Linked DNA regions of Notamacropus eugenii. The protein of the gene in region 1 purifies or fractionates together with the protein of each later gene. This does not show direct contact. Links are inferred from orthologs where the notes say so. Each region holds a gene or a part of one and is shown on either strand. Other genes may lie near its edges.

The links.
Region 2: the proteins of EAPP (region 1) and ECD purify together in Homo sapiens (affinity purification with mass spectrometry; 3 studies listed by BioGRID and IntAct, counting the BioPlex papers as one, with this or other methods). This does not show direct contact. The link is inferred for Notamacropus eugenii from reciprocal best matches to the Homo sapiens genes EAPP and ECD.
Region 3: the proteins of EAPP (region 1) and TSSC4 purify together in Homo sapiens (affinity purification with mass spectrometry; 3 studies listed by BioGRID and IntAct, counting the BioPlex papers as one, with this or other methods). This does not show direct contact. The link is inferred for Notamacropus eugenii from reciprocal best matches to the Homo sapiens genes EAPP and TSSC4.

The regions. Positions count from the first base shown.
Region 1 is NC_092872.1:319,045,287-319,052,839, reverse strand, and holds the start of EAPP (E2F-associated phosphoprotein), read left to right. Parts: upstream 1-4,543; 5' UTR 4,544-4,723; coding exon 4,724-4,797; intron 4,798-7,553. UniProt on the Homo sapiens protein: May play an important role in the fine-tuning of both major E2F1 activities, the regulation of the cell-cycle and the induction of apoptosis. Promotes S-phase entry, and inhibits p14(ARP) expression.
Region 2 is NC_092872.1:237,071,551-237,079,388, forward strand, and holds the start of ECD (protein ecdysoneless homolog), read left to right. Parts: upstream 1-4,832; 5' UTR 4,833-5,069; intron 5,070-5,204; coding exon of another isoform or gene 5,205-5,251; exon of another isoform or gene 5,252-5,294; intron 5,295-5,469; exon of another isoform or gene 5,470-5,601; intron 5,602-6,890; 5' UTR 6,891-6,906; coding exon 6,907-7,111; intron 7,112-7,838. Other genes in the region: primary cilium assembly protein FAM149B1, read right to left, coding at 1,462-1,591, 3,278-3,382, 5,205-5,251. UniProt on the Homo sapiens protein: Regulator of p53/TP53 stability and function. Inhibits MDM2-mediated degradation of p53/TP53 possibly by cooperating in part with TXNIP. May be involved transcriptional regulation. In vitro has intrinsic transactivation activity enhanced by EP300.
Region 3 is NC_092873.1:25,467,689-25,473,831, forward strand, and holds TSSC4 (U5 small nuclear ribonucleoprotein TSSC4), read right to left. Parts: upstream 2,275-6,143; 5' UTR 1,638-2,274; coding exon 762-1,637; 3' UTR 507-761; downstream 1-506. Other genes in the region: CD81 antigen, read right to left, coding at 5,527-5,589. UniProt on the Homo sapiens protein: Protein associated with the U5 snRNP, during its maturation and its post-splicing recycling and which is required for spliceosomal tri-snRNP complex assembly in the nucleus.

The DNA of each region.
Region 1 (7,553 bases):
TACTGAGATTAGAAAATAACTTTTCACCACTTTTGCAAGAACCTTAAAATCAGGGATGTGCCTCCGAACAGAAATAGAGAATTATTTTAAGTGCAGTTCTTTTTCAAGTACATTTTCAAATTTTTAAAGTTATACAGGCTACTAAAAATGCTAATGTGGTCATAACTGGGGCTATCACTACCCCCTCTTTCAAAAAAAGAAGAAGCATGCTAAAAGCGGATACAAGTAAAATCCATATTGACATAAAAGATTTAGAATTAAGCAAACTCATAATGAGACCAAAAGAATGAATTTTTCCTGTACTTGGAAAGAGAATAAGAAAAAATGACAATGCACAGCTAACAAAGTATATTCAAAGCTTCTGAGACTTGGCTGAAGGGTTAATTTTATACAGGCAGGAAGAAGGCTCATGAATGTAAAAGCAAAGCTGACCATCAACAGGGTGCAAGGTGAGAGCAGATCTTTTACCTTCAGAAGAACATTGAAACCACACCAAATATTGGCAATGTTATCCTCAAAGAATACACAAACTTGCAGTTTCTTCCACTTCTGTAAAGTACTGTAACCACCAAAGAGCAAAGGAAATAACCACTGTAAAAATCAGTTTAATGAGCAGTAACAACCCCTTTCCTTTCAAATCTTTCTTCAAGCATTTGTCTAGCAAAAGAATGGCAAAGAATGGTAAAGTTCCATCTGCTTATGATTTATGGCTAAACAAAATGCCAATGATCCTAGGATGTCTTAGTCACAAGACAGACCAAGAACACAGTGCAAAGTTGAGATTCACAGAATCATACTGAAAATATCCATACTCAATCAGAAGAAGGCCTGGAAGTGCTCTTGAAAGAAATAGAAGGCCTGGAAAAGCTCTCACAAGTTTGGTTGAAGGTTGTTTTTTTTTTAATGAAAACAGTATAGTACAACTGAAGGTAAGTAAATCATTAAAATGACAATAAAAACTGTTGTACACATGTAATTAACTTCTGTTGATAACTCTCATAGCCCTATGATGTGTGTAGTGAGGAAAATTAATTTTAATTCTGTCATTTGATTATTAATATAAATTTGTAATAACGTCTCTTCTGTCAAAAGGCCATCTCTTCTACTAGTTTAAAGAGAAGCCCCTGAACAATTCTAGCTAAGGAAATGTATTAAGTGTTTTCTCAAGGTATCTGCTCATTAACTAGGTAGTTCTGGCCCCAGCCCAACTGGGACTCTAAGTTCTGTTTAGTAGAGGGGTCTCAAAACTCATGACCTAGTCTCATTCCTCAGCTGACCTCCCCCCTTGACCATGAAGCTCTTAGTCCATTTCCTCATCAAATGTCTACCAATCAGGGGTTTCTTTTCTCTAGGCAAGGGAGTTTCCAGTAATTTGCTCTCAGGAAGACAGACTGATGTGGTACTGTCCCTTGGCATCTTTGGTTACCTAACAGAAACCACTGACCATCAATTTATTGATTATTGACTAGCCTAGTTAATAAATTTATTGTTAATACTCATTTTACTTGCCACATTCTGCAAAATAGGCACATAAAAGACTGAATAAAAGATTCATAATGAAAAATGCTATCTACATCCAGAGAAAGAATTGTGGAATTTGAAAGCAGATCCAAGCATACTACTGTCTGACTTTTTTTTCTTTCTTGTGGTTTTTCCCTTTTGTAATGATTCTTCTTTCACAACATGACTAATGTGGAAATATGTTTACTACGAAAAAAAAAAGACTGTGGTAACCTGTAAGAGGTGGATAATATAGTCCCCAGTACTGTAATTTTTATCAGTCCTATTGAAGTACCATTGCTTGACTGGTAAATTAATTTTTTAAAAAAGTAATTTAAAGTAATTTCTCATCAGTGCCTTTGCTCTTTATAAATTCTAAACATAGGAAGTTTTCCAGACCTTGAGTAAGAATTCAGAGACTAGCCACCAGACATCTCATCCATTGAGGACCACAATGGTTATTAAGTGCCATTCTTCCATAATTTCTCTTTCCTCAGGCTACATACACAAAAAAAAGAATTTTTAGATCTTCTAAGATGTCTGCTTTCAAAGAGGCATACTTTATTCCCCTCAAAACTCTTCTTGATCACATAAAAATATCAATATTCAAGGTGTTATCAGTTCTCTGCAGTTGAGAATTTCAGCCAACTTCAAGGGATGCCAGGCTTCTAAGTATGAAATTAAAAAGTGGTTATCTGTTATATCAGTGCAAGAAGGATCCCATGGTGCTCAGTGTCCCTAGTGGTCATAGGCTTCCTGCCTAATGCCCAGAAAAATCATGTTAGTGACTGAATTCAAGATATACTGGAGTCAGGTACACTCATTAGAAGGTTATTGCAATACTCTAGGCATGAGGTAATGAGGGTCTGCAGTAGAATGGTGGCTGTATCAGAGGAGAGAATAGGGTATATTTGAAAGATATGGCAAAGGTGAAACCAATAGACCTTGGCAATCGATTGACTTTGGGGAATGGGAAATAGTGAGGAGTCCAAGATAATTCCCAGGTTGTGAGCCTGAGGGACTGGGAGGATAGTGTTGTACTCTTCAGTAATAGGAAAGGTAAATAGGAAAGAAGATTTAAGGGGAAAGATAATGAATTTGACTTGAGTTTAAAATGTCTCCACCAACGTTGGGGCATCAACTATTGTTAATCCTCCTCTCCATCCTCCCCCCTCCTCCCTTCTCCCGCCCTCTACCCCGGAAAAGCCCTTGCAACAATCATAGTCAGGAAAAATGAATTCACTGAGTAATGCATCCAAAAGTATATGTTTCTGCATTGTGTCCATTGATTTCTCTGTCAAGAAATGGGTAGGTCCTCTGGAGACATGATTGCTCATTGCTTGATCAGAGTTCTAAGTTGATTTTTTTTAAAAATGTTATTCTTGTATTAATTGTTCTCCTGGTTCTGCTCATATCACCCCATGTTATTTCATAGTATTCCAAATTCTCTGAAATCTTCCCTTTCTGGTATTACCCACAACAATATAATAAAATTAAATTCAAAATAGGAGCTTTGAAAAAATATTTTAAAATTAATTGGAAACTAAATCATGCAATCCTAAAGAATTGAGAGGTTAAAGAACAAATCATGGAGATAGAAAATTTCTTCAAAGAAAAAAAAACAACCCAACATATTAAAACTTGTGGGATTCAGATAAGACAACCCTTAGGGGAAAGGCTGTGTCACACAAAACAGTAAATTGGGAACACAACTAAAGAACAAACAAACAACTACAAAGGCAACATATCAGAACCTCTCAATTCCACATAAAAATAGAAATTCTTGAAATTAAAGATGATATTAATAAATAAAAAACAAAAAACAAGTATTGAACTCATTGAATTAATACATTTTGAAAAACCTAGACACTAGTCTGATTTTTTTAGAGTGGAAAACAAGATCATTTATATCAAAAATGAAAAAAGAAGAATTTATAACAAATGAAAAGGAAATAAAGGAAATGACCAGAAGTTATTTTGCCCAACTCCATTCCAACAAGACTGATAGTGTAAAAGGAATAGATGAATACTTACATTTTTATTAGTATTTATGTGGTTTTTGTAGAATTAGAGTATCTTTCTAGAGCTAAGAGAATATGTGCATGTATGTGTGTATATATACATATGCGTGTGTATACATAATACACACGCATATGTTTATATTAAAGTTTGGAAGTCTTCATATTCCATCAGAGAGGATCTTTACTATCATCCACTACTATTAAGCACAGTACTAGAAATGTTTGTATAATAATAAAATAAGAAGAAAGAAATTGAGGGACTAGATGAATAGAAATAAAAAATTAACCTAGCAATTTAAAATTAGATTAGAAGAGAAAATGGTAAATCTTACTGAAGAAAAAACATATTTCTGAAACTGAAACAGACCAAACAGAAATCAGTGGTTCCATGGGACACTAAGAAATATAAGAACAAAATTAAAAGATTGTAAAAAGAAGAAGAAGAAGAAGAAGAAGAAGAAGAAGAAGAAGAAGAAGAAGAAGAAGAAGAAGAAGAAGAAGAAGAAGAAGAAGAAGAGAATATAAGCTATCTTATAAAGCGGCAGGGATCAAAAACACTTAATATTGGTTAAAAACAGATTAGTTGATTAGACAAGGAAGAATCAGAAACAGTAGCACTCACTGATGTTTAACAAATCCAAAAAAATAAATTCTGTAGGAAAGAAGTCTCTATTTTATAAGACCTGCTGGGAAAACCAGAACTCAATCTGGTGGAAAGAAAGTAGGCTAAGAGCAACACCTTAGACCATCTTGCACAACAAATTCAAAATTGATACCCGAACTGAATATTAAAGGATATACAAAATTTTTTTGCTTTCTCAAAGAAGGTGGGAGAGAAGGAGGGAAAGAATCTGGAATTAAAAAACCGAATGTTAAAAATCGTTTTTACACATAATGGAAAAATATGAAATATTAAAGAAAATAAAAACAGCCCTCTTCAAGGGCTGCAGCTGTAACTCTGCAGCTACTGTAGCAAGACCCTGACGCTCCACTATTTGCCACCTCCCCTCCCCGCCCTGCCTAGCCAAGCCCCGCCTCTCCCTCCCTGTTCCTGGCGTTCCTTCCAGGGACCTATCAGCGCAGGCGCAGTAGCAAGGAAGCGGAAGTGCATCTCGCTGCTTCCCTTTGAAAGTACCACTCCAATCTGGTGACTCCGTGGATTCGTTCAGAAGGGCTGTGCTGGGCCGTGGGTCCCGCTCATCATGAGCTGGCTTTCTGAAAATGATGACCCGTATGTAGTTGAAGAGCCCAGTGACGAGGAACCAGCTTTGAGCAGGTAGGCCAGGCGCGGGGCCCGCTCTGGGTGGACAAGACGTCCCCGACTTCTTCAGTCGTCGGAGCTGGGCTTTCCAGCGTCTGTCTCTGTTCGCAGAGTGGCCCCGGGACAAAGCACAAAGGCAGATGCAGGCTTGATGTCAGGAAACTATGACGGTTCCAGCCGTTCAAGAAAGAAATGGGGCCTCGGGAGGGAGAGTGAGCTCCGTTGTTCTGGAAGTGTTCAGGCAGAGGCCAGGAGTATGCCGAGCCCATGGGATCTTGGGGGTGCTTCCTGAGGAACAGCCTTTGAAACCATCCACACAAGTGGGAGGGGCCTCCTGGGCTCAGAATTTAAGAAAAAGCCGGGGGATAGTTGGGAGCCAAGCTTGCTGCTCATGGTCTAATAAGAATGCAACAACGTTGTACAAACAAGCTATATGCAGCATAAATTGATGATAATCTTAGAAGGAAGGCTCTATTGTGAAGAAGGATTAGAAAAGTCTTATTTTTATGTTTTAATGTAAATAGCATTTTATTTTGTCCAATTTCCAATAGTTTTAAACATTCATTTTTAATGGGATTTTGAGTTCCAGTTTTTCCTCCTTCTTCTCCCCCCACCGCAAGATGACAAGCTATCCGATATAAATTATGCATTTTAAACGTATTCAATATGTCACGTTATGAAAGAAGAAACAGAGCAAAAGGAAAACACACACACACACACACACACACACACAAGTGAAAATAGTGTGCTTCAGTCTACATTCAGATTCCATCACTTCTTTCTCTGAATGTGGATAGCATTTTCCATCTTGAGTCTTTTGGAATTCTCTTGGATCACTGAATTGCTAAGAAGAGCCAAGTTTAACATAGTTTATGAGCACACAGTATTGCTGCTACTGTTCACAATGTTGTCCAAGTTCAGCTCATTTCACTTAGAATCAGTTCATGCTAAGGCTTTCCAGGTTTTATAAAAGTCTTCTTGCACAGGGTAGGATTTTAGCTGGGACTTGAAGAAAGCCAGGAGGCAGAGATGAAGAAAGAGAATACCGGCATAGGGGATAGCCAATGAAAATGCACAGAATTGGGAAATGGAGTACCTTGTGAGTGGAACATCAAGGAGGCTGGTGTTATTGAATAGTGAAATATGTGGTGGGGACTGGAAAGGTAAAAGGGGCCAGGTTATAAAGGACTTTGAGTGCTAAACAGAGGATTTTATATTTAAAGGTGATTGGGGTCCATTGGAGTTGATTGAAAGTGGGATGGGGGTGGGAGAAGGGATAGGGAATGGGTAGCATGGTAACATGGACAGGTTTGTGTTTTAGAAAAATATGTTTGTCAGCTGAGTCGAGGATGGAGTGTAGTGGGGAGAGACTTGTGACTTTTGCTCAGACATGACATGATTGGGGGGAATGAGTATTTATATAGCTTCTACTATGTGCCAGGCACTTTGGTAAGCACCTCACAAATATTGTCTCATTTGATCCCCACCAAAACCCTACAAGGTATGTGCTGTTGTTATCCTCGTTTTGCAGTTGAGAAAACTGAAGCAAACAGGTTAACTCACTTGCCCAGGCTCACACGCCTTAGTAAGTGTCTGAGTCTAGATTTGAAGTAAACTTACTGACTCCAGGCCAAGGGCCCTATCTGTTGTGCTACCTTGCACCCTCATGTGGCCTTTGATTACCAGGGTAACGGCGGTGTCAGTAAGCTGAGATGAAGGAAACTAGTTGACCCTAGTTGAATGAAACTTATAAATAACCTTTCAAGTCTCATAGCATCCAAAAATTCAATCAGACTTTTATGTAAGGGCAATATGGTTAAAAGATGGGAGACCGTAGATGAGAGAACGTGGAATGTTACACATTTTTCAGAACCAATGGATACAACTATTTTGATGAGCTACTTTCCCCATTTCTTTTAACAACTTTGTAAGACTAAAAGAACATTATATGTTTGTATGTGTATGGGTGTATAAACTAGCATTTATTTAGTGCTTTAAGGTTTGCAAAACATTTTTACATATTTTGTCTTGCTCAATCCTCACAACAGTCGTGGGGTATAGGTGCTATTATTATCCCTGTTTTACAGATGAGGAAACTGAGGCTGAGAGAAGTTAAGTGACTTATCCAGTATCACATAGCTAATTAAATGTATGAGGCAGAATTTGATCTCAGATCTTCCTGACTTTAAGTCCAGTACTCTTATCACTGTGCCATTTGGCTGGTATAAATATAAAAGATATTAAAAACAAGATATTTTTTTTTAAGAGACAGATTTGTAGAATAGAAATTATACCAGACTTAGAACCAGATGATCTGGGTTTAAAGGTACCAATTACATTACTAACATACACATTGTGTTCACCCTCACTTGTCCTTACCCCCATCTGGATCTAACGCACTACTCTGTAAAAGAGAGATGATGTTGGCTGTACTTTCTACCTTACTGGGTCCTTATGAGACTCAATTAACAAGCAATTAAGTGTTTACCATGTATGTTATGTTGGGTATTTGGTATACAAAGACAAAAATGAAACAGTCCCAGCCCCTCAAGGAGCTTTCATTGAGTAGCTTACATTGATAAAATTAAATATGTTCGTAGAAGTAACTTTGAAAACTGAATCCCTATATAAATAAATGTAAAAGAGAAATAAAAATAAACGTATCAGAAATTTCAAGTTTCACTTCTGTTGTCCCAGCACTCCCCACCAAAATTTAGAGACTCAAGATTCTATACTCTAGGAGACAGAAGCAAAGAACCTGGATAATCCAT
Region 2 (7,838 bases), about 82 Mb from region 1:
ACTAGAGGAAGATAAAATATACCAGAAGAAGAAAAAAGAAAGAACACAATCTCTGCTCAGAGTGAATAGGATGATTTATTGGATGAGAGGGGCATAACTACTCAAATTTTACTTCAATTTTCTTTGCTACAGAGAATGATCTTTGGGAAAGATAAGAATAAAAATGGTTAAGATAAGTGAAAAAATGATAATTGATCAACTATTTGCCTTCAATGCATTCAAATGACCAGTTCTAAATAAATAATACCCCAGGGTATTAAAAGAACTGGTGCATGTGACTGCTGACTTACTGTTCATTAAATGTGATAAATCATGAAGAGTTAGAGGGCTGTTGCAGGACCAAAAAAGGCAAATGATGCCCCAATTTTTTAAAAAGTGAACAGGACACAGTCTGAAATTTTTAAATCCATTAGCTTGGCTTTGGTTCCTGGCAAAATTCTACAGTACGCTGTTAAAGATCTAGTTTGTTAGCATCTAGAAAAAGATGATCACTAAGAGCCAGCATGACTTCATTAAGAATAGGTAATGCCAGCACAGCTTAATTTCCTTCTTGAAAAACTTGCTAATTAGTAGATAAAGGGAATATTATATACTGGTATAAAGAGATTTCAGGTAGCATTTGATAAAGTTTCTCATATTATCCTTCTTGAAAAGACGGAGGGATAGGGGCTAGATGATGTTATAGTTACCTAGATCTAGACCTCAAATAAAGTCATTAATAGGTTACTATCTCCAGTGGAGTGAATCAGGGATCTCATCTTGGTCCTGAGCTAGTTAACATTTTAATCAATGGCTGGTTGTATAAATGATATGTTGGATGAGATTCAGGATCCAAAAGTACCTAGATGGGTCAAACAATAGGCCAAATCTACTAACACGCTGCTTGAGATCTCCAAGTCCTGCTCCTCAGACTCAACCAAAGTACTCTTCTGTCTTTCATTGGGAGCATGCTGCCTAGTGCTCCCAACTAAGATCTATGGTTACATGAGTGATAATTCTGTCTCCTCCTCCCCATCCTTTCTCCCACGCTGCTTGTTTCCTGTCCCCACACCATCTGCTGCTGTACCCCTTTCACTGCTTGTCTCTGTACCTTATTAAAGTACGACTGCAGCCCCACTTCCCCCTTCCTGTTGCCATCCTGGGCTTTCCCAGTAAGTACCCAAAGAACTGGGAGTGCCTGTCCCTATTTCACAAATAAACAATTCAGCTTGAATCTGTGCTTAAACTTCCATATCTGTAAAAGGGTAATGCTAACTTTCTTAACTCACAGTAGATGAAAACTAGGGGTACTATGTACTAAGCAGTATTACAAAATGCTACTTTCTAAATACAACTACATGATAGTATTATTTTAATGTAGCAATACAGGTAGAAAAGTGGGAAGAGGCTGGTAAATTCTGACTTTCAGTTTTAGGTCCTACCTTACAAAATATTCTACCAGACCAATTATATGTAACTCACATCATATCCCCAGGAGAAGTCTGAGCTGCCTTCAGTAGAGATCCCTGTATCAGCATAACTCAGAAAGGCAGATCTGGAATTGCCAGTGTCAGTTGATGTAAAAGGTGATTCTTGTGTGATGTCAGATTCACTAAATCCACAATTTGAGGAGGAGAGGGGAAAAAAAAGGAAAAATTCTTAGATATTTTTAAGTTTTGAAAATTAAACTATAAAAAATTTGTATACAAATGTGCACAGGGATATAATAGGGAATTTCTGAAATGTACAATTTGAATAGTTATAGGGCATTTCAGGGTGCCATGGTAACCAGCACTCAATATAACTATAATGTAACAATAATACATAGATAAATGGAACTCAAATTAATATAATTAATACTCTAATTTTCAAATATTATAACTGCTGAAGCTCATCAACTCTCTAAATATTCTCTCACTTTTTTTAAACATCTGGCATAAAACAATTTCATCATGAGCAAATGAGAGCCTAAGGGAATAAAGCTGGTGAAAAAATTTACAAACATGTTTCCCTGATAAAGGCCCCATTTCTCAAATATCTATATAGATAACCGAATCAAATTTATAAAAACACAAGTCATCACCCAATTGCTAAATGGTCAAAGGATATGAACAGGCAGTTTGCAGACAAAGAAATGAAAACAATTTATAGTTACATGAAAAAAAGCTCTGAATCACTATTGATTAGAGACATGCAAATTAAAACAACTTTGAGGTACAATCTCACACCTATAACAAAAAAGGAAAATGATAAATGTTGGAGGGGATGTGGGAAAACCTGGATATTAATCTACTGTTAGGAATGGGAACTGATCCAACCATTCTGGAGAGCAATTTGGAACTATGCCCAAGGGCTATAAAACTGTGCATACCCTTTGATCCAGCAATACCATTACTAGGTCTGTATTCCAAAGAGAGTTTAAAAAAAAGGAAAAGGACCTATATGTACTAACATATTTTATAGCAACTCTTTTTACTGTGGCAAAGAATTGGAAACTGAGGGGCTGTCCATCTACTGGGGAATGGCTGAATAAGTTGTAGCACGTGATTATGATGGAATACTATTGTGCTATAAGAAATGATGAGCAGGATGGTTTCAGAAAAACTTAGGAAGGCTTATATGAACTGATGCAAAGTGAAATGAACAGAACAAGAGAAAATTGTACAAAGTAACAGAAATATTGTAAGATAATCAACTGTGAATAAGTTAGCTATTCTCAGCAATGCAGTGAACCAAGACAATTTCCAAAGACTTATGATGAAAAATGATATCTACTCCAGAGAAAGAAATGAGTCTGAATGATGATTAAAGCATACTTTTTCAATTTTATTAATATTTTTGCATGTTTATGCATTTTCTTTTGCAACATGGCTAGTGTGGAAATGTTTTGTATGACTACATATGTACAACCTATGTCAAACTGCTTGCCTGTAGGGAAGGTGAGAATTTGGAACTCAAAAGTTTAAAAAATAAACGTTAAAAATTTTTGTATACAGGTAATTCAGGAAAGAAAATGAAAACTAAATGTTAAAAAAAAAGAAAAGGTCACACAGCCTTACATACACAGACTTGAAAAAAGTGAACACAAGTTAATTATAATAAACAATACAATAAAATGTATGTTTTTGTTTAAAAAAAGATTAAATGAGACACCATAACACATTTACACAAAACACTCTGCAACTATACAGTGCTACACAAACTGTATATATGTAATTTATTATGTTGCTAACTTCCAAACTTAACAAAACTTCCATCTGTAGAAGATCTAAAAAAATGGTACACCTAGCATTTTTACCTCTGATAACTTGAGTCTTTTTCACGGCTGTCATTACTAGGGGTAATTTCATCCAGCTGATCTGGAAGAGGATGATGATCAAGAACATTTTTGGCAATTCCTCTCCTACAAAGGGTAAAACAATATTATATTAGCTGTTAAAAAAAAGGACATTTCTCAAGTATTTGTTTAAAGTTAATCATTCACTTACACAAGAATGAACTTTGGATTAAATTATGCTTATGATTTCCACCTAAAAAGGACTCACTTCAAATACCCTAGAGGATCAAAACCTTGGTGTTTTAATATTAGAGGCCATCTAGCATGTTTTGAAGGATTATGGTATCTGCTATAAAATGGCATGGAGAATAATTTAGATTAAGTTCTGTATCTCAAAGTCTGATGAGATTCCTTATTTAGGCTCCAATGGTAGAGAAAAGCAAGAAAATTACCTCCCTAAATCAGACAAAAGCATGTTGATAGTGCTTATAAAGTATCACCTTTTGTATATAAAGATCAAGTCACAAACCCACAGTGAGCAGTGAATTTGCTTTTACTTGTTTTTTTTTCAGCAGTGAGGAATGAGCTTGCATCTAAATTCTTCTCAACAAGTACCTCTTATGGCAACTGAACCGAAAAATCGCTAGCCACATTTTGGGCATTAAGTTGTGGCTCTGAAACAGACTCTGCTTTTGTTAGTTTCATACTAACCAGCACTCAGTGATTTGCAACTGTGTAACATCACCAGGAAGATCCTGGTATTGGAAAGCTGTTTTTTTGTGTCAGGAAGCAGCTACTGCAGAATTGATAAACTTAATGCAATCCTAACTTATTCTATTTATGGGACCTACATAACTGTCCACATGCAGTGTCTGTGCAAAATATATCTATCAAGGGATTGTGGATTCAACCGCATTTCATAATCTTGGAAGTGTGTGTACGTGCACACAACCGTTTCCTGTATAGCTTCATAGACTTTTCTCTTCCCAGTGGCTGCGGGTCTTTTTCAGAAAGTCATGAGTATTCTGGGGCTTGATATCATCAGTATAATGTCAAACACAAACACAATCACTTTGAGGACCTTTGTACTTATAAGGAATCCCTCCTCTAGAGTCCCTTTGGACTCTACACTTTCCACAACAGTGCAAAACACCTCTGCTTGCTGATCAGAGCATCAGGGAACAAATGTATCTCTTTAATTGCATGTATCAAGGAATATTATAGGATCTTAACACACGCAAGGTAGAAATCTGGTTGGAGAAATATTAGCAACCCTGCCTTGTACTAGGCAAATCCAAGGATTCCAAATCCAAATTCCAATGATTTTCTCTCCAGACGGGGAAGAAATGGTACAGAAACACAATGGGTCTGAGCGAGTTTCTTGAAAAAAGTGATGTAGACACCAAAGAAACGGTTTTTTGCAAAAGGAGGCAGATCTATCAAGTAGAGAGAAAAGGTGAACAGAAGTACAGCCCTGGGTTCTGTACTGACAGCTGTGAAATGTTAAAAACAAAGAAGCCAGCCGGCCCACGTGCCAAATGTGCGCCTTCCTTGGGCTCCCTGTCTAAGCTGCATCATCTTCCGCATGGATCCTCCCGACAGACAGTTCTTTTGGGTATCTTTTCACTGATTCACTTTATGCCTGGCACATTTATCTAGGTGCTCGGCTTCCTGCAGGCAGGGGTTCTTTTATTCCGTACGTTTGTACTGGCCCACGACCGACCTCCCCACGACGCTCGCTACAATTATCGCGATAACTGCTCGGCTCTGGGTCGTTTCCGAGCAGCCCTCTGGGCAGCGCACGGACCCTCAGGTATGCCTCGCGCGGGGCGGGGGTGACGGGACGGACGGGACCCAGGCCCCCCGGGGAGCACGCTCTCTTCCCCGTCCCCAGGGAAGGCCCCGCTCCCTCTCCTCTCCGGGCTAGGGGCGGCAGGAAGGCACTCACAGCTCCACGCTCTGCGGCGCCGCCTTCCGGGTGTATCTGGAGATCATCTTCCTTCTCCTCAGGTGCCACCGCGGAGGGGAGCCCGAGGTGGGAATTTCCGGACCTGTCCCTCCGCCCGGCTCCGCCCCGGCCGGCCCCGCCCCGACCCCCTCCCGCCACTCCCTAGCCCCCGTCCCGCCCCGTCGCCTTGACGACCGACGGTCCTCTACTCCCGCCTCCCTCTCCGGCAGCACCGGAAGTGGCGGCGCGCGGCGCACGGCAGTGACGTCAGCGGAGCGGCGGCGGCGACCCCGCTCCTGTCCTCGGCGCTGCTAGCACCTCCCTGGCGGGCCCCGGGGGGCGGGCGTGGGGCCGCCGGGCCCCGGACACCTTGCCTGCGAGCGGCTGCCTGAGCCGGGTGCGTGCGGGCGGCGGGCGGGTGGCGCGAAATGGCAGCCGGGCTGCGGGGGAAACGGGCCCAGCCCCTGCCGCCGTGGCCGGGAGGCCGTGGGGGGGCCGCAGGACTGAGCAGCCTTTCCGGGGCGCTCTGGTCCCGGCGCCACCGGCCTCCTAACTGCCCCCGCTTGTGCCCCCATTTTACCGTTGAGGACCTCGGAGCGGGACGCGCGCCTTCGGCAGCCCCGCCCCCTCGGGGGGAATCCCGGGGTGTCTGACGTCATCCCGTGACGGGGCCGCCCCCCCCCCCCCCGGGGGCCTGCCTTGGGCCCCTCTGTTTGAGCCGCTCGAAGGTGGGGGGGGATCTGCTGGCCTTTACCGTTGCACCCCCCGCCTCGTGGTGCCTTCACCCTGCCCGCTTCGGCATCCGGGGTCGCCTCCTCTGGCTTCTCGAGCCGCGATTTAAAGACTCCTATTATGTAGACAATTGCGGGGAATTTTTTTAAAAAAATAGGCATTGTGGGTCAGAGAATGGTAAGCGGAGGGCTTCTCTGGGTTATGATAGAATAATAGCTAATTTATAGGTTTCCAAAGTGCATTACGAAAAATATCTCATTTTATCCCCACAGTCATCCTGGGAAATAGGTGTTGGTATTATTATCCCTGTTTTATGGAGGCAGAAACTGAAGCACATAGTTGTTAAGTGTTTTGTTAAGGATCGTTCGCTAGTAACTCCGCTTGAGGGTAGGATTTGAACTCCGATCCAGTATTCTGTCCTCTGCTCTGTGTAGCTGCCTCTTGGGGAGGGAGGAGGTTCACATCATAAGCAAACTAAAGGAAATTAAGTCATTTGTCCGAGGTCACACGGGTAACCCGAAATTCAAATCTATTGCAGTTTTTCATTTTCACCTTGCTTCTCCCAGTGTAATTCCTCCAAGATTTATTCAGAACTTAATATGTGCAAGACCCTGAAAGGCTGCAAAAATGAAAAAAAGTGTGATTCTTTTCTTTAAAGGTTCTATAAGCGCTTTAAAGGAAGGAACCACGGACTATAATACTTGTTACTTGAATTTGTCTTACTTTTTTATGTCAGTGAAGACTTACAGATGTTGTACAAAGAGGCCAAAAATACATGGAGGAGCTGCAAGGTGAAATGAGAATTCAAAAGCAGGAAGAATTTCAGAGGAGATTGCATGAAGAATGTGACATTTAAGCTGCACTTTGAAAGTATATCGTGAAGATTTTAAGAAATAGGGATACCAGTTACAAAGTAACTTGTGTGATTCATTTTATTCCAATTTTGAAATACAGCTTTCCAAGAACAAGAATGGAGGGGAACATGAAGCTATCAGTGGCAGAAGATGCAGTGGAATATCATCTGTTTTTGTTACCAGAAGAACCAAGAGATCCAGAAAAACATAAAGAGGTCCTGCACAACTATATCCAAGCAATAACGACCCAGTATGCACCTCTGCTGGTTTCCTATATCTGGCAAAATCAGCCTTTTAATCTCAGATACAAACCTGCTAAAGGTAAAGGTCTATTTCTCATTTTGATGCATTGGATTCTTACAACTCATACTTATAAGAGGGGTTGACTGAGTTTTCATTATACTTCTCCCTCTTATTTCTCTGTCTGGTTGCTCCTTTTCAGTTGTCCCTCCCCATGATGGAGCATACCCAAAGGCTTTCTATTAGCTTTCTTCTCCCTCCATACCAATTCTTGTTCAATTATGTCATTTATTCTTGTGGATTTATTGATCATTTCTACTGTTAAGTGAACCAAACTGACCTCTAACTTAGGGATATTCAGAGTTGAACAGAGCAGGCTAGAGAAAGGAAAGTCAGGAATCAAACAGAAGTTTAATTTCAAAGTGAAGCACGCAGCTTGTAAACAAGGGTGCCCCATCCCCCTCCTCCACCCCCTAGTGGAGGGATACAACATATTGTGGGAAGATCTCAATCCTTACATCAATGTGCGGACAATGAGGGGTAATAGCAGAGAGACAAGTTTGATTCATAGTAGGGCTTCATGACCAGAAGTTGGATGCTTATCCAAACTCAGAGAACACCTGGTTTTGGTGAAAGCAATACAACAATTTTGTGATTTTGCCAGAGGGTGAACGCAAAGGATTGTTGTCATGTCAAGCTTGAAGCACAGACTACTTGCTGGGCTTTAGCCCTGGAAAACAGGGTATCTCCCAATATCTTGACACTATACAGATGAATCCCAGATCTCTATGACCAACCCTAGTTTCTC
Region 3 (6,143 bases), on another chromosome or scaffold:
GCTAATATTCACTGACCAAGTGGCAGGAAACCCTGGCCCCATGAGTCAGGGATTTACTCAGAGAGCAGACCTTCTCTCTGGGTTTCAAGGACCCTGAAAGTGCAAAGTGTGTGTTGGGGGAGAGACAGGAGGGTGGAGGGTGGCGGGTGGCCAATCAAAAGCACCATGGCCTATCCCACAACCAGTCCCTCTTTCGCTCCATCGCAGGTAGCTGCCCAGCATCTGGGTCCAAGACAGGCCCAAAGTCCCCTTCGGGGAAACACCTGCCTGGGGCCACACTCGTGGAGGGCAGGGATCTCCTTATTTTGGGAATAGAGAGGGATGCTCCGAGTCCTGGGTGAACCCCAATGCCAGTGCTAAGGGTACCTTCTATCCCTGTGCCATCAACCCAGGACAAACTAGGGAGCCCAGACGTAAGGAAAGTGGCAGAGGTCTGTACCTCAGGGTAAAGTGGGTGGGCCCAGCGGCCAGGTGGGCAGGCAGGGAGACACCCGGGAGGCTCAGACTTCAGGGAAACCCTTTATTGTCTTCACAAGGTCAAACCAAGTCAGCGGGGTTGGGCGCCTGGTGTGGTCAGGGCCACCAGTGCCAGCAGGAGGGCACGCTCCCTTCCGCTGGTTACCACCCCATGACGCCTTCCCCAACCACACCGGAGGGCGTGGGGGGATGGGGCGGCCGGCCAAGCTGCCCCGGGCAGGTCTTCCATGCGGGGTGGCGAGCTCCGGGGCACCAAGGGCGCTGGGTAGGCTGCAGGGCCGCGCTCAGGGCTCCTCGCTCTCCTCCTCCGCCGGCCCCTTCAGCCGCAGGTGCTCCCTGCTCCTCTTCTTGCTGCCGTGGAAGCCCACGGCCCCGGCGGGGCCCGCCCCGTCCTCCCGCATGTCGGCCTCCTGGGGCTCCGCCGGCGTCCTCGGGGGCTCCTCGCCGTCGCCCTCGCCGTCGGGGCCCCCGCCCGAGCCCAGGTGGCCCAGCGCCACCAGCTCCTCCCCGGGCTCCCTCCACTGCGGCCGCTTGCGCTCGCCGGCCTTGGCCGGCTTGGTGAACACGATCCTGCCGGCCCCGCGGCTCGAGGGGTCCTGGTTGAAGGAGGGGGCGCAGCTTTCTGGGGGCGCGGAGCTCTGGCCGCCTGCCCTCCTCTTCAGGTCCCCCAGGAGCTCGAGGGCCACGGCGCGGTTGCTGCGGTCGCTGCCCTCGGGGACGTCCTCCAGGCTGTACTTGGTCCAGCGCTCAGGATGGGTCACGTAGTCGGGGACCGGGCTGGGGCCGGGCCTGGCAGGCCCGGGGCGGGGCAGGGGCCGCTTGAAAGGGTCGGGGTCGGCCTCCGCGGGGGTCCCGGGGGCGGGGGCCCGAGCCGCCCCCTCCAGGCCCTCAAATATGCTGCGGCTGCGCAGCGAGAAGGTGGGGCTCATGCCCCGCAGGTGGAAGGGGCGCACGGGGCCCTCGGGGGCCTGCGGGGGCTCGGCGGGGGGCTCGTCGTCCTCCGAGGCCGCTGCCTCCTCCAGGCACGGCGGCTCCCCCGGGGACAGCCCGGCCTCCTGCCCGTCCCAGTCCGAGTCCGAGTCGCTGAGCGAGCCCGTGTCCGAGGTGACTTCGCAGTCGGGTGGCCCTGGCCAGGCATCGCCCCCGCCTCTGTCCGCCATGGCCCGGCTCCACGGGGGCTGGCGCCTGGCCTCAATGTCCCCAGGCCGTAGTGCGGGGGCCGGGGAGGCCGGGGGGTCAGAGTCTGCGCAGACGGGGAAACTGAGGCTGGGAACGGAAGCCCCAAGCAGGGTCAGTCATGGGGGAGGGGCAGAAACTGGGACTCGGGGTCACTGCTCCCAGCCCCACCTCTCACAGAGGGGGACGCCGAGGCGGGGCTGCGCCGACCTGGGCCCAAACCCCGAGACCTGCCTCGGGTAGAGCGAAGCTCCCCGGAACGGTAGTCACCATCTTGGGCCTCGAAGATGAGACGGCCCCGCCTCCCGCCCGCACGGCTTTCTGGGAAGCCGAGTCCCCGCACTCCATCGTGGCAGGAGGCTAGGCCAAAAGAAAACGACAACCCCCACAATGCAACGCGATGACGTCACAGTCAGGGGACCGAGCGCGCCGAAGAAAACCTCTGCACGTGACCTTCTGAGAATGAGGCCGGGATCTCGCGCCTGCGCCGTGGCCTCCCGGAAGGCCTGTCCTCGCGCGGTTTTTCGGATAACTGCTTTTCGGCGTGGGTTGAAGGGGGAGGGGGTGGGATGAGCGGAGGACGCTCACAATGCCTCGCGGGGCAGGGCGGTGAGGGGCGTGGCGACGCTGCCTGGGTGGAGGCGTGTAACAGCGTCGCCTGCCGGAGCCTCCCAGCGCCGCACGCCCTAGTGGTGCGGGGCCCCGGAAGGCATATATATGGCGGGGGGGAGGGAGGTTCCGCCCTCCCCACTTCCCTTCCTCCCTCCTCCCTGGAGAAGCCACCCCACCTAGTGCGGGGCTGAGTGACTCCTGATGCTCTTGTTTTCAAATGAGGAAACTGAGGTCTGGGGGGAGGGTGGGGACTGGGGGGAGTCTGGGAGCCCACCCGGATGTTTCGCCTTTGCGAGTGACGTCACCCGTCGTCTGAGCGTCGGGAGGGGAGCCGGCGAGAGCACACACCCTGCGACGCAGCCAGGCTTGGGAGGGGGCAGCCCCCACCCCCGCCCCAGGGCTGCGCGGAGGAGCGAGGAAGGGTGGGGACCCATGTCCCGCCTTGCTCATGGGGCATTCGAGGCCCCATCCCCCTACAGGAGCCCTTGCCCCCGGTGGCTGAGTCCTTGTTTATTCAATTTGCTGCCTTTCGTGCCAACCCCGTCACACAGTAGGCATCTCGGGAACGCGCGCAGCTCGGCCCCCTCCCCCTCCCCTGTCTGGCCGGGCGGGGCTGGGAGAGCGGGGGGAGGAGGCGGGACTTGCCGAGGCTCCCCTCTCCCCATTGGCTGGAGGGCCGCTCCTCGCTACATTGTTGCCTCGTCTTTCCTGCCCAGACGCCGCCGCCGGGTGGGGGCCTGCGTAGCCTGGAGGAGCCTGGGGGGATGGGCGGGAAGAGGCGTCCTTTCCCGGGGTGCTGAAAGAGGGGCCCCGGGACCGGTTTCCGCTCTAGTACTTCCATCGTCCAGTACCTACTGCGTGCCAGCCCTAGACCCCGGGAGCGGCCCACAGACCACCCTGGCTCCCATCCTGGGCCCCCTCTCCAGCTCCAGGCGGCCCGGCCTGGGGCTCCCTGCCCAAGCTGGCCCTGGCATTCAAAGCCTTCCCAACCCCTTTCGGGCCTCGCTCTAGTGCCCGAGGGCCCCCTCCCGCCTCTGGGGGCCCTGTCTGGAGGAGTTTGCCCCCGGGCGCTCGTGTTTAGGGGTACGTGGGTGGCCCCCGCTGGCAAAGCTGCCCTCCGTGCCTCGGCTTCCACCTCTGTAAGATGGGGGTCCTGGACCCCAAGGCCCTTTCTGGCCGAGCCTGGGGTTGTCTTGGCAGAGACGCTGGAGGGGTTCGCCATAGGCCGGGAGGGTCACCCGGCTAGGACAGGTCTGGGGTCAGCTTTGACGGCCCTCCTGACGCTGGCGCCCCGAGCTGCCCGGGGAGGCCGGACTCCAGGAGCCCAGGAAGGGGCTTCAGCCCTCCGCGGTCACTGCGTCCTGTGGGAGGTGGCCGCAGGGCCGGTCAGAGGAAGGCCGGCCGGGCCGAGCCCCCCAAAAAAGAGCCGCAGATTCACGGATCAGAGCACTTGCTTTATTGGATACATGGATTGAAAAGGGGCCGCGTGGGGCAGACAGGCAAACGGACAAGGGGGGACCCTCAGGCCATGCTGTCCCCCCGAGGCCCTGAGCGAAGCAGGGAGGGGGTGGGGCTCCCAGGCTGGGGCAGAGGCAGCAGAGACTGCCTGAGAGGTGTGAGAGGCGCTCCTTCCTGCCAACGAGAGGCATGCGGTTCTGTCGGTCAGTGCCCTCCCAGCCCCGTCTTTGGGGCCACCTGGGGATGGCAGGGGAGGGTTCTGGGGGCCAGGGTTGGGGTACAGGGCCAGCACTGAACTAACCGGGGGGCACTTCCTCCTGGGGGCAGGAGGCTGGAGGGATTTATCTCCCTCTTCGTGCAGGTAGCCCAGGACACCCCCCAGCCTCACGGCAGTTGGGATGGTGCCCACCTCCTGCCATGCTGCTCTGTGCAGGCCGGCGGTCCATCCTAGAGCCTGGGCTCCAGACCTGGGCAGATGCCCAGGAGACAGGGAGATGGTGGTTAAACCCAGGTGTCAAAGGCCTCTCCTTCCACACGTCACATGAGACACCTCCTGGCCCAGCCAGGCTCCCTTCTATGGGAATGCCCCACAGGATGCCCAGCTGCCCACAGAACATAAACACGGAACTCCAAGGCCTGACTGCTGCCTCTAGGCCAAATAACAAGTCCTGGAAAGACATGAAGCCTGGGCCCAGAACATACTCGAGTACATGCAACATCTATGTAAGCACACATACGTGCATGGCCAGTGCACTATGGAAGAGACAGGCCCCAGGAGCTCTGCCCCCTCCCCCCAACATAGGGCATTCTGGGTAGTGTTCCTTTAAGGCTTTCTAAGGTTCAATCACCCACTTCCCATTGCCCACTCTGGGGGGGCCTCCCCTCTGAACAGCCCAGGACCATGGGGGAAGTCCCAGGCAGGAGAGCCGGGTGCTGGTGAAGTGGACCGAGCCTTGTGGCCAAAGATGGTCTTCTATGTCCACAGGCCAAGGTGGCCATTGGCAGTGTTGACTGCCAGGAGGGTGAGAGACAGCTCCCCTCAGCCCAGGCCACTCTGGGGAGGGCAGGAGAGCCAGCTGGCCCAGGCCTCTCTCAGCCTCCACAGGACAGGTCAATTTTCCTCAGAACTGAAGGCCCCCTCCGGAACCCCCTGCCCAGCCCCAGGGGGTCTCCTGCCAAGCAGGGCTCACAGGGAAGGGTCCACACCAGTCTGGATGTTCTTTCCTTTTTATTGAAGTGAGCTGGTTTGGGCCTGTCTTGGACAGCCAAGTTATGGTCTAAGGGGCCAAAGTCAGACATACAAGGCCAGAAAGTGTGAGAACGTCAGAAATGCTCGAGAAAAGTAGATGCAGGAGAAAAGAATGCAGATTGGTTAAAAAAAAAAAAAAGGCTGCAGCTGCAGGAGGGAGGGTGCCTCCCAAGGCTCTCTCCTTCCCCACTCAGAAGGCAGGACCAGCAGGGCCTCCTCCCCTGCCCTACCTCCATGCCCGGGAGGGCCCCACTGAGCCGTGGCCTCAGCCCAGGAGACCCCCTCCAAGGCCCTGGCTACACAAGACCTAGGTGTAGCCAGAGGCACAGAAATGAGTCTGGTAACTTTATTTCAAAAATAAAAACATCCCCTCCCCCACCCCCATGCCCCAACCCTCCAAAGTAAAAATGCTAATAAGTACTGCACGGTAATATCTGAGACATTTCTATACATAATTCTCTGGATTTCTCTCAGACGTCTCCTGGTCACTCGACGACAGTTGCGGGGCTCCTCTCCTGCCTGCCCACACCTCAGAACAGCCCCAGGGGCGGTCCTCAGTACACGGAGCTATTCCGAATACCGCAACACAGGACCATGCTGAGAATCATCTCAAAAATCTGCAGGGAAAGGGGGAGCGCGTTAAAGATGGGGCTACGTCCTCCCCATCTCTCCTTATCCAGGCTAACTGCTCCTCATGCGACACAGGGCCTACCCTGGTCACCCCTCCTCCAGACTCCCTACAGCTTAGCAAATGCGGCCCCCAGAAATGATCACTGTCCTCTGGGTGAGATCTGACTGGGGCCAAGCATAGGGGAACAATCACCTCCCTCCCTCGTCCTGCTCTCAAGGCAGCCCCAGATCAAATTAGCGTTTGTGGAGCTTGTGGCCCATTCAGACCCCCCAGATCTCTTTCTGGACAACAGCTGCCTAACTGCCCCATAGCTTTTTGGTCCTTAATGCCAGACTTTGTATCCATCCTAGGCTGCCCAGCTCATTGCTAGCACTTCTCCTCTCCCCCACCCCCAGATTGGTGTCATCTGTTCCTGTCCATGTCATGGATTCAATTAGAGAAAGCAAAGGCCCTTGGGGACTGCCATCGACTTGGGATTCCACCATCAATGAACAATCATCCAGCTTATCTACAAGTGCTGCCCTGCCAGCCTCTGGAGCA